Linked DNA regions of Schizosaccharomyces pombe. The gene in region 3 interacts genetically with the main gene of each other region. Each region holds a gene or a part of one and is shown on either strand. Other genes may lie near its edges.

The links. Genes that interact genetically often act in the same process or in processes that back each other up.
Region 1: mutations in chl1 (region 3) and ers1 together harm fitness more than expected from each alone (negative genetic interaction), as found in Schizosaccharomyces pombe (2 studies listed by BioGRID).
Region 2: of chl1 (region 3) and rad21, changing one enhances a phenotype caused by changing the other (phenotypic enhancement), as found in Schizosaccharomyces pombe (one study listed by BioGRID).

What each region holds. Positions count from the first base shown.
Region 1 is NC_003421.2:799,474-805,043, reverse strand, and holds ers1 (RNA-silencing factor Ers1), read right to left. Parts: upstream 3,887-5,570; 5' UTR 3,848-3,886; coding exon 3,817-3,847; exon of another isoform or gene 3,781-3,816; coding exon 3,705-3,780; exon of another isoform or gene 3,666-3,704; coding exon 3,617-3,665; exon of another isoform or gene 3,578-3,616; coding exon 3,528-3,577; exon of another isoform or gene 3,505-3,527; intron 3,473-3,504; coding exon 3,058-3,472; intron 3,013-3,057; coding exon 1,733-3,012; intron 1,684-1,732; exon of another isoform or gene 1,683-1,683; coding exon 1,635-1,682; exon of another isoform or gene 1,598-1,634; coding exon 1,487-1,597; exon of another isoform or gene 1,445-1,486; coding exon 1,163-1,444; intron 1,113-1,162; coding exon 1,026-1,112; intron 985-1,025; coding exon 543-984; 3' UTR 501-542; downstream 1-500. Other genes in the region: rRNA processing protein Ipi1, read left to right, coding at 1-417; protein Fta4, read right to left, coding at 4,426-4,985, 5,060-5,201. UniProt on the Schizosaccharomyces pombe protein: Involved in RNAi-dependent heterochromatin formation and centromeric silencing.
Region 2 is NC_003421.2:1,341,039-1,346,739, reverse strand, and holds rad21 (mitotic cohesin complex non-SMC subunit Rad21), read right to left. Parts: upstream 3,848-5,701; 5' UTR 3,649-3,847; coding exon 3,616-3,648; exon of another isoform or gene 3,536-3,615; coding exon 1,682-3,535; 3' UTR 1,347-1,681; downstream 1-1,346. Other genes in the region: F-box protein Pof3, read left to right, coding at 1-1,346; SPOM_SPCC338.18 (uncharacterized protein), read left to right, coding at 5,118-5,471. UniProt on the Schizosaccharomyces pombe protein: Cleavable component of the cohesin complex, involved in chromosome cohesion during cell cycle. The cohesin complex is required for the cohesion of sister chromatids after DNA replication.
Region 3 is NC_003424.3:5,396,916-5,403,134, reverse strand, and holds chl1 (ATP-dependent DNA helicase Chl1), read right to left. Parts: upstream 4,391-6,219; 5' UTR 4,022-4,390; coding exon 3,383-4,021; intron 3,318-3,382; coding exon 3,125-3,317; intron 3,066-3,124; coding exon 1,363-3,065; 3' UTR 1,032-1,362; coding exon of another isoform or gene 1,025-1,031; 3' UTR 973-1,024; coding exon of another isoform or gene 902-972; 3' UTR 725-901; downstream 1-724. Other genes in the region: rpl4101 (60S ribosomal protein L41), read left to right, coding at 902-972, 1,025-1,031; GARP complex subunit Vps51, read left to right, coding at 5,056-5,535; trehalose-phosphate synthase Tps2, read left to right, coding at 5,940-6,219. UniProt on the Schizosaccharomyces pombe protein: ATP-dependent DNA helicase important for chromosome transmission and normal cell cycle progression in G(2)/M.

The DNA of each region.
Region 1 (5,570 bases), on a different chromosome or scaffold from region 3:
TCATTTGCATATTTGTCGCTATTCAATCCAAATAAACACGATCTTGTCGATAACCCTACTTTCCGTTGGCAGACAATATATCCTTTAATACCTGGAATTATAGAATTCATTAGAAACTCGTGGTCTGACGCTTGCCCAGTTGTTAAAGATGGATCCAACTCTCCGTCTGCTTCAAAAGTTTGTAGAACGGTTTTATCGATGCTTGGATTGTTTACTGAACAAGTTTTCAGTGTAGCTGATGAACCCAACAATCATAGGAAGAAAATATCTCAAGTTTTAAGAAAAATAAATAGGGACATAGAGTTGATAAATATCAATTATGGAACAGATTCCGAATGGAGAGGTGTATTGAAAGGATACGATAAATTGCGCGAGCGTGCAGTGGAATTGGATGCATTGGAGAACCCGGGTAAATGAAACTGACTCTATATGTTTCGTTTTAAATGGGTCCTCGCATTGTTTTAATTTAAGAATTTGGTTTGAGGGGTTATTTATGTTAAGTGGTATAAACAAAATTGATATTAACGCATAAATAAAATTAATTAAATAGTAGGGTGTATCCCCCCTAATTGATTCACCATAATAATTGCTGCAGTATACAAGTCTGAAACATTCTCAGTAATAGCCCCACCAATGAATTGTTTATTTGCAAGTTTCCACGGAGCCGTTTCTCCTGCGCGTATACTGTTATTATATTTGAACTGAGACTGCATGTACACACTTTGTATACTTAGACTGAAACAGGATTCTATAGGTTTGCTTTCCTTGGATCTGTCGAGACAAACGAAGGCTTCTTTGGAATTAATAGATGACGGGCTAATGTCATAGCTCTTAACTTTTGAACATTTTAATATAAATTCTAGAGAGTGAGGGAGTAAATTTTTGTTAAAAGGTACAGAGTTTTCATTAATTCTTGTGACCGAATGAATTATTACTCTGTCTTCCATATTTCCAAAGACTAACAGTAAATCCTTATTTACGTTTCTAGTCAACTGATTAGTCGAAGCTTTCAGAAATTGACATACCTAAATCTAATACTTTTGGAGAACTCTGTAAGTATCGCATCATTTAAAGGGACTTTCGTTTCGATACGTAGACGGGAATCCCATAAGCTATAAGTCATGATTAGTTGTTTTTTTCCTTAAAAACATTCATAACATACGCTAAAGGAAAATTGATAGTGCAAGTAGAAGATTGCTTAGAATCTTTATAAAACGCAAACTGATCTAACTTTGAAGAACAAATCATCGAAAAAAATACAGTGGAATCCTCTGTCTTGTTTCTCTTATCATCTGTAAATAATAAACTTCCCTTGAAAACAAAGTAATTCTTTGAATCTAATACTTCATGCTCTATTAAAGGATAAGTATACTCAGTACGTCCAAACAAAATTTTCACAGGAGTATTCAATAATGAATCGATATTCGAAACTGATTTGGTAATGCTTTATAAAAAGGTTAATATAACATATGAAGACTCAACCTACCAGTCTGCAAAATATGATCGGGGAAGATTCAAATCCTTATATATATTCATAAAACCATGTGAACAAGCCGACACATCTGATGAGATATTTGGATATAGTATGACGCCAAACCTGTTGGATTAATATTTATTCAAAAATAAACGCATACTCTAAATTCAATTCAATTTCACCTGAAAAGGATTGAAGTACATGCAAGCTAAACAAAGTGTTAGACTTATGTTTACATATTTAGTCAATACCACAGACCTTCTAGATAACCATCTGTGCAATGATTTCAAATTCATGTTGTCAATCTCTTCGTGATTAATGTATTTTTCAGAGCATACTATTTTTGGTTGAAATAAGTATAAGCTTCCCACACCGTAGCTTGATACCGGATTGGAAGACATTAGAATTGTATAATAGTTGTCACCAAGGTCGTCCATTTTCTCATCTTGTAAACGTAAAAACTTCATGTCAATTGAAGGAGTTAAGCTGCCAGATTTTGGAGTGGAACAATCTGATCCTTTGTCAAGCTCTAAACATTCTACACTTAATAGGTTTTTAGACTTTGAATCGTCGAAATCCAATTTTGCGCAATTTTGTCGCAAAGATTTATGAACATCATTAGCGTTAACTTCATTAAATTCATTTGAATTGACCAATTGAAAAGTCTGAGACTGTTTAGTTATTGCTTCGTCAACAGTATTACCATCCGAAGAAACAGAATATCTAGTAACCAGCTCTTCTTCAGGTTCCAATGGTAAAGTATTGCTCGTAGGTCGAGGAGGAAGCTGAAATTTGAACCGAGGAGGCTGCTTGCTATTAGACTTATTAATTGAATGCTCAATTGCAGTTGTTTTATCTTGGAAATGGGTCAAAGATGAAGTTCCTAAAATTTGCTTATCAATCGTGGGTAATTTATTCAACTTGTTCATAATCATTTCTTCAAAATTTGACGGATTATTCTGGTTAACAACAGGATCAACTGCTCTCCTTCCTTGATGAATTGAATTATCAGATAATTCGGTTGACGAAGAATGAAAATTTGACGGCTTTTGTAAGACTGGGATCGACAAATTGGATGAAGTTTTATTTAACTCGTAAAATCTGTGCGCTGGTTTCGGAGAAGAGAAGTTTAAAGAAACACCTGCAAATATTTTACATCCTATCAGCTTTATATCATCAGAAAATATTTTAAAATTATCATTACAGGGAGGGGTTTTGGAAGGATTTTTAGCAAAAACTGGTACCAACTCATAAGAATCACCATCATGTTTATTTCTCAATAATCTCATAGTATAAAAAGATCCAAGGATATTGAAAACGCTTTTGAAAATAGATGTCGTATGCATAGCTGTGTATAAAATCTCGTTTTCAAATTTTAATTTTAGAAATTTCAGTTGGCAGGGTGCAATCTTTCCTGCATAAACAAGAGTTTCTTCAGGATATTCATAGACTTTCTGGGACACTAAATTCTCTATATGCTTCATTTTCTCCAACATAGCATTAATGTCCTGATCGTTATTGGCTAATACAACTATTTTCTAGTCAAAAGTTAGGATGGTAGAAGTATCTTCACAAATACATACATTATCTTTTAAAGAAGCCTTGTATTTTGTGTTGGTAGCATGCGCAAACTCCTTGAGCAAATCATTATTGTCGGGAAGGTAAAATAATCGCTTGAAACTCCCGTTGTAAACAGTAGGCGAATAAATGACCTGTTTAAAATTTCCTTCCCATTCAAAAGGAGTAATGATTTTAGGTTTTATCAAGCAAGGAATATAAAAATCGGAGGATGTCGGTTTCTTGCCCACTTTAGACTTAACAATGTCCTCATTTTCTTTTATTTTCACATCTTCAATACCGTATCCTAAGTCTAAGTACCTTTGAAAATTCAATAAAGTAGTAAAATCATAATGCAATTGCCCGAATGGATGAATATCTAGGCGTGGTTTCTTGTAAACAGTTGATTCGCGCTTCAACTTTTGAACTATTTCCTCAAAACTAGCATGTTAATTAATATTTAAAATAATATTTAGGATGAACGCATGGAACTTACAGACTAAACGCTTCTCTTTTGTGTTCCTCGTACACTATGACTTTGAATTGCTGAATTATTAGCGTCAATAGCTAGGATATATAAAATACCTGAGATGAAGAAGAGTAAGAAATTTTTACTTTTCCATTATATTCAGAACTATATCATCAGTAATAGTCCATTTGCGCAAAACCATACTTTATACAATTTGTGAAGGAGGATATAAATTCAGCATTTAAAAGCAACGCTGTATCGATATAAAATTTAAAAAATCCTAATATTAGCAAAAGAATGATACACATTGACTTACCAGATTGATTGTTTGCAGATACTTTACCCATCACTCATTTCATCGAGCTTACAGATGGTACATGCTATATGCAGCTTCAGAATATAAGTGAAGTAATATGAATTCATTAGGAATATAAAGCTTTATGAATTATCAGAAGAAAAGAAAAATAATTAAATCTATAGTTCCTTGTATGTAGGTATTATAATTGTGATAAAATTAATGTTAACGTACTTACAATCGAGAGCTGAGTATTTGAATTATAAGCTGTAATGATTCATTAAAGGTTAGAAACACTGTAAACTAAAAAATAAAACTAAGACAATTGTTAAGAAACGTATTTTGTTTAGCGGACACTCATTTGTAAATAAAAATGTGTTGTCTTATCAACTAACTTAATGCCTCCCAAAGCTAGGAAATCATTAACCAATAAATATCTGAACGTAAAGTAGAAGCTTCAAAGTTATTTCTATAGCCCCAACATTTCTAGTAGAGTCAATAAAATCCTTAAACCAGGAAATAAGGCACCCTCTCCTCCAATTAAGTATTAGTCATTATTTCAAAAGCAGATGATGAGATGCAATAGGAGTTCATGAACATCATTCCCTCTCAATTTCTACGAAAAGTTTTTTAATCATCAGAAATAGTTTTTTCGAATAATTGGCTTCTGATTTCGTCCTCCAATGACGCTTCCTGATTGTCATTGTTTAAAGAAGGAAATGAAACCCCTCTGAGAAGAGAATTAATTTTAGCTACCATGGTGTTCGTACTGTTGAGGGTTGATATCAATTCAGGGTTTTTCTTCCACATATTCGTATGTATTGAAGAAGGCCCATCTTCAAAAGGTTCCAACATTTTTTCGATTTGCTCAAGTTCAGAGCGCTCCTGTTCTAATTCTGACAACGTTGTTAATAGACCAAGTAACTCTCCCGTAAGACGATTGAACTTCTCTTGCTCCTCATCCTTTTCGACAGGTCGGGATTCTTTTTGAAAAGGCCATGGATGGGGAAGTGATTTTACACTGTCTAAATTGCTTAAATCAATTTCTCCATAAAATAATGGATTTAAAAAGGTAATGTCCTCAATAGCGCTATTTTGTTCATATAACTTTCGTATTTGAGCGGCAACATGCTGAGTTGCTTGATGTGAATAATTTAGCTTTGCATGCTTTTGGATACGAAGTTGCAATCCTGTTTTGGTTAATAATAATATTTTGAACTTTTTATTTGTAGGAGAAATCCAGACAAAAGCATGGAACACGTACGTTGGAATACAGTTTCAACGACTGATTCTGAAAGCTGACCGGATTTTAAAGGAAGTTTCCAATCCTTTGGAGGGCGCATAGGTCGGTTCAACAGCCGTATCTGTCGTTCCATGAATGATTTTTTATGTTCGTAAATATCCATTTAGGAAGTAAATTTGATTTAAATCAAGATTATCAGGATTAAAATAAAAACAGTTGAATACTGATCGAAAAACAAGTCAATATGGTATTGAAATTAACAAAGCAAGTTCACGCAAAGGCAACAAACTAACAGCGACTTTTGAGCATATAGACGTCTTCAGTGTAAGCACTTCCAAAATTAATTACTTAACAAAAAAAGACCAAATCAATCAGACCTTGGCTGATGGTTGATTAATGACAAATTTTGAGAAAGTTACAGGAGACTAAAGAAGTCGAAAAGTCGAGCGACTAAATAGAATACTTTGAATGATGTTAAAATGAAGATTTTATGTACATAATCATTAAGCTAGCTCCTTAGAAAGGACTCGTC
Region 2 (5,701 bases), on a different chromosome or scaffold from region 3:
GGCCGGTACTAGATTTGTTTCGCATTCTTCCCCGAGAAGTCCTATTATGTATTCTACAGCAACTAAATTTCAAAAGTATTGTTCAGTGTATGCAAGTCTGCAAACACTGGAGAGACTGTATTAAGAAAGAACCTAGCTTATTTTGTTGCTTAGACTTTTCATGCGCCTCTCCTCGAAGTGTAAACTCTAGAGATCGAAACGTTATGGCTGTTGCTCGATACTCTGTTTATTCAAAAGACAATATACAGGAAGTAATTGGCTTAGAGAAGCTTGGTATATTAACACCTACCAAAGCCTTACTTCGTTCAGTCAAATCACTTAAAGTCTACAAAACCATTTCACCTCTCCACACTCAGTCAACGGATAAATTGTATACAATTTGGACGCCATTTTCTGAACTTCACTACTTTTATTGTGCTACTCCTATAACATTTTCCATAGCTTCTAAGATTTTATCTTGCTGTAAGAAACTCAAGCAGGTTGAGCTTGTTGACTTAATTCCCGATTTGATATTTGATTCTATGGATTGGGATAAACTCTTTAATGCAGAATCTGTACCGCTGGCTCTTAAATCTTTGACGTTTATCCGAAATCAAAAGTTTCCCTTTCACCATAAAGAACAGCAATTTCTTAAAGACTTGCTGTCTGCCAGTCCATATTTAGAATATCTGGAAGCCTCATATCAGTCAGACCTAGTTGCTGCAATAAAAAAATATAAAATTAATCTCCGATCGTTAATTATCATTGATGAAGGAGTATCGAATACTGTTAAAGATCTAGCATTCCTTCCTCAATCTCTTACCACGTTAATTGTGAAACCCTGCAATCCTGCATCTACAATTTTATGTCCATATTTATTCCCTACAAATGTCCGGATGGAATCACTAATCAACTTAGAGTTATTTCTTTATCTTCGTTTATCTCAAAATGATATCGATAATGTTGTCAAATTTTTGACTTCTTGTTACAAACTAAAAAAGCTGGTTCTACACGATTCGCTAGCATTGGCCCCCCATTTCTTTGAAATATTTGCATCTTTACCGGAACTTGAGCATCTTGAGATTCCTGATAACGTTGCTCTTCAAAATAAGCATGCAATACACATTACTGATTGTTGTCCAAATCTAAAGTATGTGAACTTTTCAAATTCAATATCCCTCGATGGATCGGGATTTATAGCAGTTTTACGAGGACTGAAAGAATTAAAACGTATAGATATTATTAATTGTGATTCTGTTTCTAGAGATGCAATAGATTGGGCGCGCTCCAAAGGTATGCAAGTTACCGTAGCTTCCTCGCTTCCAAATTCTCAACCATTGGGTACAAAAAAGATACGCCTAATATAATATGATCATATTGTCTTTATATATTCAATCCTAGTAAACCCGTATCATCGCATTGAAAGGAAGATTTTTAAGAGATAGATCAATCATTGAGAATAAATTAAAAAGCGCGTAAGCTATTTCTAATCATAACTTTGTGTTGAGCTGATAATATTACATACATCCAACAGTAATATCGTAACTCGGAAAAAGAAAGACATACAACTCGTGATTCCAAAAATAAAATAAAGATAAAAGAAAGCAATGAACAATATTACTGTCATAAAAATCTATTTCGTGTAAGTATTCACACTTATTTATAGATCTAATTGGATTTTGAAAAAATATTAACCGACCTCTCATAGTGATGAAAGTAGCATTCCACGTTTAGCAGTAAGCGTGATTTCGTTCTGAATGGCAACATCCTGCTTGACAGATATAACATCCTTCGTCGCTAAAACGAGGACATCAAAGAAAAGTTGAACAGCTTCCTCTCTATTGCATCCCGCACTAAGAGTTTGGAAGGATACTTTTTCACCTTCAGTATAAGGATCCCACTTATTGCGTAGAGAATCTTTGGCTGTTTGTGAACTAGGAAGGGCCTCAGATACCGAAGAGTCCAATCGTTCGCTTCCCAGCAAATCGGCCTCGTCCAGCATTACGGGAGGAGCGTCAAAAAGTGAATCATCGGCTGATTCCAAGGCAGTAACAGGAAATCCCATTGGCGAACCAAGCTCAGGAGCTTCTCCTTCTGGTTGAACAACGGTTTCTTGTGGTAAAGTAGCGATAGCGGCTTCAGTAATGTTGGCAAGCTCAGCGGCTGCAATTTCTTCAGGGTCCAAGACTTCAGCAGTTTCTTGGTTTTCAGTTGAGGTATCAGTACGTTGGTGCTTGGCAGGCTCGACTTCCTCTGGGCTCTCATTTTTTCTCTTTCTTAGAATTGCCTGTTTGAAATCAGCTTGCAAAAGCTCGTTTACTTTAGGGTTCAGGTTGGAAGAAAATATGGAAGTATTAAATTTACCGTTTCGAGTAAAATTAACGGTGGCATTAAACACGATGGAAGATGTATTCAAGCATAACGGTGAGGTGATGGAAGATGTATCTGCCAATTGTTTTTTCATTTGCTTGGAGGACAATTCAGTAACGGGATCAATAATTGCACGTTGACGACGTACAGTTTTCTGTGGATTGATCTTTTCCTGTTGAGGAGCAGTGGCGCTTTCAACAACCTGACCTTCCTCTACTCCTGCTGCTGCAGGACGAGATGAATCATCTTCCATAATGTCAGAAGGGAGATGAATACTTGATGTTTCAGCTTGTTCATCAGCCTCTATCGCCGGAGCATTAGCACCTTGTTCATCTCCTAAAAGATCATCTAAGCCCAAATCCAGGTTTAAATCATCAACAGGAGCCAACAATTCATCATCCAATGAAGTTCCTCCTATTGGTAGCATGCTTGGCGTACTAAAATGAGTGACTGAACTAGCCGGCGACTTAGTCATTTGAGGCCCAATAATTCCACTTAAATCGGTGGCAGCAGCAGCAGGAGCATCTCTACCTACTTCTATAGAAATTTGGGACTGATTATCAGAGTGCACACTTCTAGGTGTAGCAGCACCGGAATTTGAAATGGGAAGATGAAACTGCATATCATTGCCAACATGTGCGAATGATTCGCCCAAGGAAAACCCTGATTCTACTTGGGCATTTCGTCCAGCCTCAATTGATAGCTGGGAAGATGGAAAAGAAGGAGAGGAAGATATTGGTAAAGAATGTAGTTCAAGAGTGTTCGAAGAACGAGAGGGTGTACGAAGAAGTTGAGACCATTGAAAATCAAATGTACTATCAGGTACCAAAAGATCAAACTCTGTAATTGTCTCAGGAAGAGTGAGATTAGCGCTCTGTGTCACAGCATCTTTACCTTTTAAAGATTGGAGAGCAGTAGCTGGTTCAATCATATCAACCTGACCCGGTTGAAAGGACATTTTCAAACGCATCAACGCTTCCGTACAATCCTCCAATAAATACCTAGCCTTTCTGGAATAAATGCGAACAACACCCAACATTAGTTGTCCTGATAGGCGAAGGGCCATTGGAGCGGTTTCCTCCGTGACAATTGCATGGACGCTTTGCTCAATACTGGTGTGCAAAGTTTGCACTTTGGAAAGTTTCTTTTCCCAGTGAGCTGCCAACCATACCTTGGCCAAAGGACCCTAACGCGAACAGTTAGTCAGACGATTCAAAGACAAATTAGCACTGTTTACGCGCTAAAGAAAACTTATAAACTACATACCTTTTTTGAAAGAATGGCCTCTGAATAGAACATAAGAAGCTTAATATGATTAGGAGAAAAAGATAGAAAGAAATTAAAGAGTAAAGACAAAAAAAAGAGGGGAATCAAAAAAGAACAAAAATAAACAAAAAATTAATAAATATTAAAATGAAAGAAATGCTTTCTTTCGCAAAATTCGCCTCCTCACTACGATATAAGCTGGGTATTTGTAAAAATGAATATACGTGGTGCTGGTTAAATGAGTACGCGCTGCGCGTAAATAAATCCACGTTGCCATGCCGACAATGAATATGATACATAAACAAACTAGTATGTGTAGCAACAAATAGTTAAATAAATGAATAAAAAAAGCTTGTATTGAAGTTAGAAACTGTTGAGCATGATCAAGGGAATATGCTTCCTCGAAGAAGTTGATTTATCTTTGTTATATGCTTGTATGTTTCGGCCTACTAACTGTATTATAAAATGATGCGCTAGATTTACGTTCACATATGTGCATAGAAGGCAACAAAAGGCATTTGAATTATGTTATTCAATTAAAATAGTCATAAGACATAAGGGGATATGTTTTTCAATAAAACGGAAAACTCCGATTACAACCTTGTTTTAACAATCTTGAGTTAAATTTTGACCATCCTTATTTTGGAAGCATTATCCTTCCATTGAATACATTTATCAAATGAATTCCATTCATTAATTGCATCTTCAATGCCATTTTTTCTGTATGATTAAATAGACTCGTAAAAGGATGTTTTCATCCCATTTTAGTAATGTCAAAACACATTACATTAAACGAATATGTAATAGAAATTACCACGACTGAAAATTTATTTTATTTCTATTATATTATTGTCAAAATTAAAAGGTTGATTGTGACTCGTATGCCAGAAGAAGGTTAATGAATAAAAATACTTATAAAAATAAATAAATTTTTTTTTTTTGGGTAGGGTGTTTTTTTTTAACGATAAACCCCATCCAGATAAATTCGATAAACAAGCTAATTTATTTAAAAAATCAAACAAAAAATAGAAAAAGGAATAGACAAGAATTCCATCCATATTCGTCTAGCAAATTCGATTTTTCCATTTCCCAATAGTGGACACTGCGCAAAACAGTTCCCGTATGTTTTAGTGAAGGGGAATTCGAGTTTGACTGTTGGAAGAAGGCAATTCGCTCATAAATCATTTTAATAAATAAAATGAATGTATAGCATTATTTTCGCCTCTGCAGAAGTTTAATGTCATTGTTCATTGTTGGCAATATCCAATGTGGGGGAAGGCGTAAATAAAATGAATACGTATATGTTTCTAACCTTGATTCTTGACTTTTCCCAACAACGGTTCACTGACTTTAAAAGAGAAAAAGTATAAATTACTAAAGCAATTGTTACATTTAAATAGATTGCTAAGGACTATTGTCTAATAATACAACAGTTACCTTTATTAACGTTTATTTTTCTTTTGGAACACATTGAATATTAAACTAAATTGCCACAAAACAAAATGACTGAACAGAATATCGATATCAAAAGAGAATTGAAGGATGAATCTCCAATTGGGCAATCTCCACATCTAGAAAATGATGGTCGTCCTAGTCTTATGTCGCGCTATAGCTACTCGTCTATTGAAGAGGTATCCAAAGAGGGCTATCAATGGTTTAAACATCAAAGTGTATTTCTTAAATTTAGCCTAATTGTACTTTTATTCTCGTTGATGTTTAGTTTGACGTTTGGTTCGTTGCTTGGATTAATTAGCCTTGCTTTGGGCTTTCCTAGTGTGGGATATCGTTATGTGCTTCTGCCCATATTAAATGCATTATTGAACCGTTTAAGACTTAATTCCTCCGGTTTGAAGTAGTACGAAAAGCTTGATTTCTTTGGGTCTCCCGTTTCTGCTTTTTGTGTCCGAATTCAAAATGAATCATCATAAAAAGACAGTGTTCTTGTTTACCTGAAAGCGATGAGTAACTTACCCTGTTGTATCTTAGTTTACGACGATCCTTGTATAACGACTGGAAAATAAAAAAAAAAAGTCAAAAAACTGTGAATATAATAAAAAGTGATTTTTTACTTGTTTAAATTACAGCC
Region 3 (6,219 bases):
ATGCTTTGTGCAGTGGAGCGAGATTGCGTTAAATATTTGGGGTGGTGTTGTTTGCTTGGCAAATGCCGCAAAAGAAAAAGCCACCTCTATCTCTTACTTTAAAAAAGGTATCATTCAGTTTTTACAGATATTAAATCCATTCTGTTATACACAATTGGTATTCATATACATTGCTAGCATATCCTTTAAATTTATTGGATTATACATTTTTTACATGGTATCTTTTAGTACCAAAGGGTTAACGTTGCATTTTAAAATTTGTTTTTAATAGATGATTAAAGTAGCTCAAATTGTCAAGGAGTTTAACAGTTCGACTTAAAAACACAGTACTTGTTCCGGATGCTTTCAGTATCTTATATAGCAGTCTAATTACAATGTCTAAGAATAAATTTATACTATTCTATGGCACAAAAATGCGTTTCACCTTCCCTGTAGACTACTTACTAGACTTTAAAGAATGTTTATGATATACCTGTTCTGTATACGGTTTACAAACTAAAGTATGTAGTATGCTTGAAGTTTACACAGCGTTTGACAATAGATCGCAAGTCGTATACAACAACATCAGGTATGTTGTCATTAAAGGATAATATGAATGGATGATATAGCATTAAATGGATTATTATTAAATCTGATTTTGAAGAGCTGAACCTTTCAAAAAAGATATGCAAAAGGAAGCACTTAAAAATCACTTACTATCGTTGACGGATCATTTGAAATAAAATATGTAATTAACCACTTTTTGTATGTTTACATTTCGTTCCTTGACATACTAGAGTAATTCTGTTACTTGACTGTACTTTTGAATGTGTTACGTCCGTATTGTGTGTTCTTAAAAGAGCAGTCACAATGTGCTATACAGATGAAATATTGCCTAGTCTGCTAGTCATCCATAACCACAATGCGTGATAAGTGGAGGAAGAAACGCGTGAGACGCCTTAAACGTAAAAGAAGAAAGATGAGAGCTAGATCGTAAGTGTTGTATTATATTACTCAGACCTGCAGACTTCTAACTTTGAATTAGTAAATAAACGGATCATCTACAGCTCGATGGACTGAATTAAGCGGTCCCTAGCGTGACGCTTGGATATCATGGCAGAGGCCTCTTCCTGCTCTAAGTCGTAACTTTTCTCAAGTTGGTTTTTTTCTACCTAAACAACCTTCATTTGCGACACCATTAGTGCAGTCTTAATTGACGTTCAAAATAGATCTTGTTTTTATACCTTTGACGAGTAATGATTTGAGTAGTCGGTAAATACGAGAGAGGTGTATTTTCTAAAAATTATAGAGTAATCTATTTACAATATGCGAAGCGTAATTCTAAAATAAGCCTATGTTGACGCTGTAACGCAAACCATATGTCTAATCACACATCTTTTTAGCCCGGAAAAAAGTAGCAAGTTGCCGTATAGCAGGTCCGAAATTAGGGCTAGAATGGATGTTTTTGCTTAACCAGTTTGGTAACTTCCTTTGTATACTTGATCGATTATATCTGGAATCCAAAAGAATTATACTTGCATAATCATCTCGGTGTCGAATCGCTCGACCTATACTTTGATTTACTGCTCGCATACAGGTATTTTCATAAAATTCCTGTGAAGCTTGTTTTGCATTTATGCCTTTCTCCTTGGCCTTTTCCTCTACGTATGAGACCTTGGCTTGCCATTCCACATCTTGCGAGTTAGGGAACGGCATTCCTACCACCATTACGGCTCGGCCAAGTTTATCTGAAAAGTTGATTCCTTCTGAAAGTCTTCCTCCTATCACGCTAAACAACATTCCACTCAAGCCTGCATCTACGGACTGTTTATAGTGTTCAAAAGTATCCAAAGGATTATCGCCAAAATCTTTACTTTCAATAAATAATGGTTTTTTTGCATTTAAACGATTTGTAATTCCATTCATTTCCCATACTTTTACAGCTTGCTGCAAAAATGCAAAACTGGGAAAGAAAACCACGACGCCATCTGGGATAATGGAAATGAAGTTCTGAAAAGTCCTTCCCAAATCTTTTAATAAATTCTCATCGTCTTTTCTTTTATGTGTAAATTCAAAAGGGACGCCTGCAGGACCTTGAGAAACTAGAATGGTTGTAATATTTTCAGGAGGAACTATATGGTCACATGAAAATGGAAGTATACGAGATTGTTCATCTGAAAATAAAAGGGTTATAAAGTCATCAATCGGTGACATGGTGCCACCAGCTAAATTCACTGAACGACATTGTTCGGTCAATATCTCGACATGTTTGGATGGATCGAGTAACAAATATTTTAAATATGGATTGTCCCCCGTTTGTTTTTCGTAAAATAGTTTCCCCTCAGGAGCAGGGTTGGCGATATTCAGTAAGAAAGATTCTAATTGCATTAGGACCGGTGTGTATGGATCCTCTTCATATCCATTGCCGTTTGAAAATCTTTCACTACGAAGATCATTCAAAGACTCCAATTCTTGTGTCCCCAATGAATGCATATATTTCGTATAACCATCGACTTTTCTTGCTAGTTTTGAAACATTCAAGTATTCAGACAGATGGTGCAAGTTAATTTGATCCGCACCATTTGATACCAGTAAAGAATCGACATTGATCACTTTTGAATTCGTATTAGTTTCTAGACAATTTAAAAAAAAAGATTTTAGGTTATAGACAACTTTGATCAATTGCTTTATATGCATTCTATTATTACCATTCAGACGTTTTTCAAACCGCAGAAAATATTGTTGCAATTGAGTTTCAGCAATACAAACTTGTCTAAACGAGATGGAAGAAGAATGCATGGAACAGATTGCATCAATCAAGTTATGAGCTTCGTCAATTATACATATATTGTCTTTAAGAGTCAAATTAAGCGCATTTCGTGCTGATTCTTGTAGCAATAAAGGATAAGGTAGGGTCACAATTTGAGCTGAATCCACTGCTTCCCTCGTTCCGTAATAAGGGCAGACCTTTAAACGCTGGCCCAATTCTACGAGTTCTTCAATATCCATTATTTCAGCAAGTGCTTCATCCCGGAAGTCCCATAATTGAGTGTTGTCTTGTAAAAAGGGACACTTGTGAGCTGATCCTAAAATGTAAAAGTTAATATTAAACTGAATTTTCAATCTAGTGAAGTTGTTAAAGTACCTTGAAGCTCAATGCATTTTTCATTTAAAGCAGACGTTGGTCGAAGTTTCCGGACTTCATTATTAATACAAAGATTCTTACGAGAAGCCAAAGAAACTACTCGTATTGGCGTTGAGAAGGTTTGATTATTGAGCTTTTTAATTTCCTGAACAAGCTGTTGCAATTGAGAGTGGGTTCGAGAAGTAAAATATATCTAGCAGTAGGTTAGAAAAATATTACCACTAAATGAATATTCCTTATAAGCACCTAAATTCGTACCTTTTGAACTATAGGTGGTTTTTCATTATCGGGACTTAATTTTCGCAATAGTTCAGAGACTTTGGAACTGTAACCGTTATTAAATAAATCTTCAGATTGTTCAGAAGTCGATGGCATCGTATATTCTGCTGTAACTAGATATTCGTCCATCGGATCAACCGAAGTATTAGAATTATTACAATTGTCTGAGGTTGAGGCTTCTGCGTTTATGTTCCTCCTTTTTGTTTCCCTGTGGTATGTAGTTGAATTATTGCTCATTTGATTTTTGCGACTTTGGTTCCTCTTTCGAATTTCTTCAAGGCGCTGTTCAAGCCGTGCATGTGTTTCTTTTACTAGATCCTTTTGTATTTTCAAGTCTTGCTCTAGAACCCAATCTGGAATTTTTGAGGATGTGTTAGATTTATTGTCATTAGATTTTTCATTATCCTCAAGTAAAACACCTCCATGTTCGTCTAGCCAAGTAAGTGAAGCACAGATTAAACTCAAACTTTTTCCCGTTCCAGTTGGTGATTCAAAAATCCCAATCTTTCCATCGCTGATGGAAGAGTACAAACTGCGCATGAACTCTAGTTGGATATCGTATGGGGTATACGGGTGATGAAAATTGGTTTTAAATTTTACTTCTTTCGAATGACACATTTTAAAGGTAAAACAACCTTTTCAGAAACCTGGAAATCTTTCGTATACTATTTCGAGTTTTGATAACAGTAATTGCACATTACAGAGCCAAATGTAAGGTTCCCTTGTAAAATAGTTAATAAAGCATAAAATAACACCTTATAAACACGGGAAAGCGTATGTTTGAGCTTAGATTTTTCAGTACAACAAAAGAGAGTAGCGATGATACTAATTGAATTTACCAAATCATATGCAAGCTGGTTTCTGAAGAAGGAAGTACTGTTGCATAAACTCCATCCGTCAAACTGTCTATTTATATAACAAGAAGACTTTTCAACAAAATGTTAAAATGAACAGAAGAAACCGCTTTGCACGAGGTTAGGCAAGTTTACTGTATGTTAAAAAACTGTTTCAGTGTATACTGAAGTTAAAATATATTTGCAAATTTAAATCAAATATTCAACTACTTTTAAGGGGAGGAAACTAAATTTAAGAAAATTAAATATGCATTTCTAGTTTAACAGAAAGAATGAGATTTTGTTAAAAGTGCTAAATTCTCTTTCAACACTAAGCCTACAATTCAGTTTAGAAGAACAGCAAACGCTCAAAGGTTAAATAATATATATATGCTTGACGCTCTCTGTATTATCGAATATTATCATAACTAATGGAAATAACTATGGAAAAAGAAGCTGAAGTATGGTTATGTAATTTTCTAACGCGTGCAATCGTTAGTCTTGTTTTTGTCATCTACCAAAGAATCGCAATACCGCGAAAATGCATTTTTAAAATGCGTTGAGATTTTGCTACCAGATCAGCAATAAAAGTATCGAAACTTTTTAATCAAACTATCAATATGAAACAAAGCAATAGAATGTTTTAAAGAAATATTCGAAGCATCGATATATGATATAAAGATGTACAGGAGTACGTTATTCACTCATTTCTATCACTAGAGCATTTTCTGTCGGCAACAGTATTTTGTTCGTTGCTGGCCTTGTAGATACATTTATTTCATTATTTATTAAGCACTGTCGTTAAGTAAATTGTACAATATGTCAAGTAAACGCCGTCAAGCTTTAAGAGACTTTTATAATCTACCTGGTTCAAATAGCTCATCTTCAACTGTTTCTACAACTCGAAAACCGTCTAGCTCTAATACCGTTTCGCCAGTGGAAGAAACAGCATTAGATAAAGTTGATCCAGAGTTCTCAGATCCAAATTTCGATTCAAATGCTTACGTTTCTAAATTTATGGAGAAAGCCACACCAGCCGAATTATTGCAGCGTGATAAATCTTTGGTTGCTTCGATTCAAGGGCTTTCTGTCGACCATAGATCTTTGGTATATAATCATTATAAGCATTTGTTAGAAGCTAGTGATGCAATTAACTCTTTTTGTAAAAATTTAAATACACTTCTACCTGCATTAAACGATGCTTATCAGGCATGTCCAAAGCCTACAAGGAAAAATGGAAATAATGATACGTATTCAGCTCCCCAATCTTTTAATGGAAATGAATTTTCAGCGCCATAGTCGCAGATTTGTTCTACCATCTCAGTGTTAGCGTCTTCACATCATTTCAAAAGCTTGGGCAATGACGAACACCATCTCATTTATCAGTTATTCATAATTCATTAGTAAAAAGGTTCATTCATCATATATTCGTTATTCGCAGGGAATTTCCATTTTCATATCGGTGAATTCGGTGTCTTACTACCTCTCTCGGTCATTTGAATTTTCCGTCATTTAGGGTACACTGTCCAATGTAATATTGAGCTTATAGTACGGTCTCCTACTTTCTATACGTTTAATCATCTGCTTAAACAAGCGCAAACGACATTGATTTAAAGTTTTTTGCTAGCTTATTGTAGTGATTCATTGGTTTTATTCTCTATATTTCTCGTCACTTCTCCTCGGTGAAGTTAAGTGCTCTAGAAATGCCTTCAGGCGCGCAAGGAAATACTCAATCAGCTGCTTATAAACGTATTGTTAATGTCTCTCGAAATTTTCAATTTAAAGCAGCCTTAAATAAAGATACTCGCGAATGGACGTTTCAGCATCGTAGTAGTGGCACTGCCCTTTACTCAGCAATTGCTTCATTGGGAGATCCTAGTTCACCCTGGGACGCCGTGTACGTAGCTTCTCCTGGACCTGTACAAATTTCGGAAGGAAATGACCATACAGTGGAAACTAAGATTGATGAAGCTGCTGTTGTTC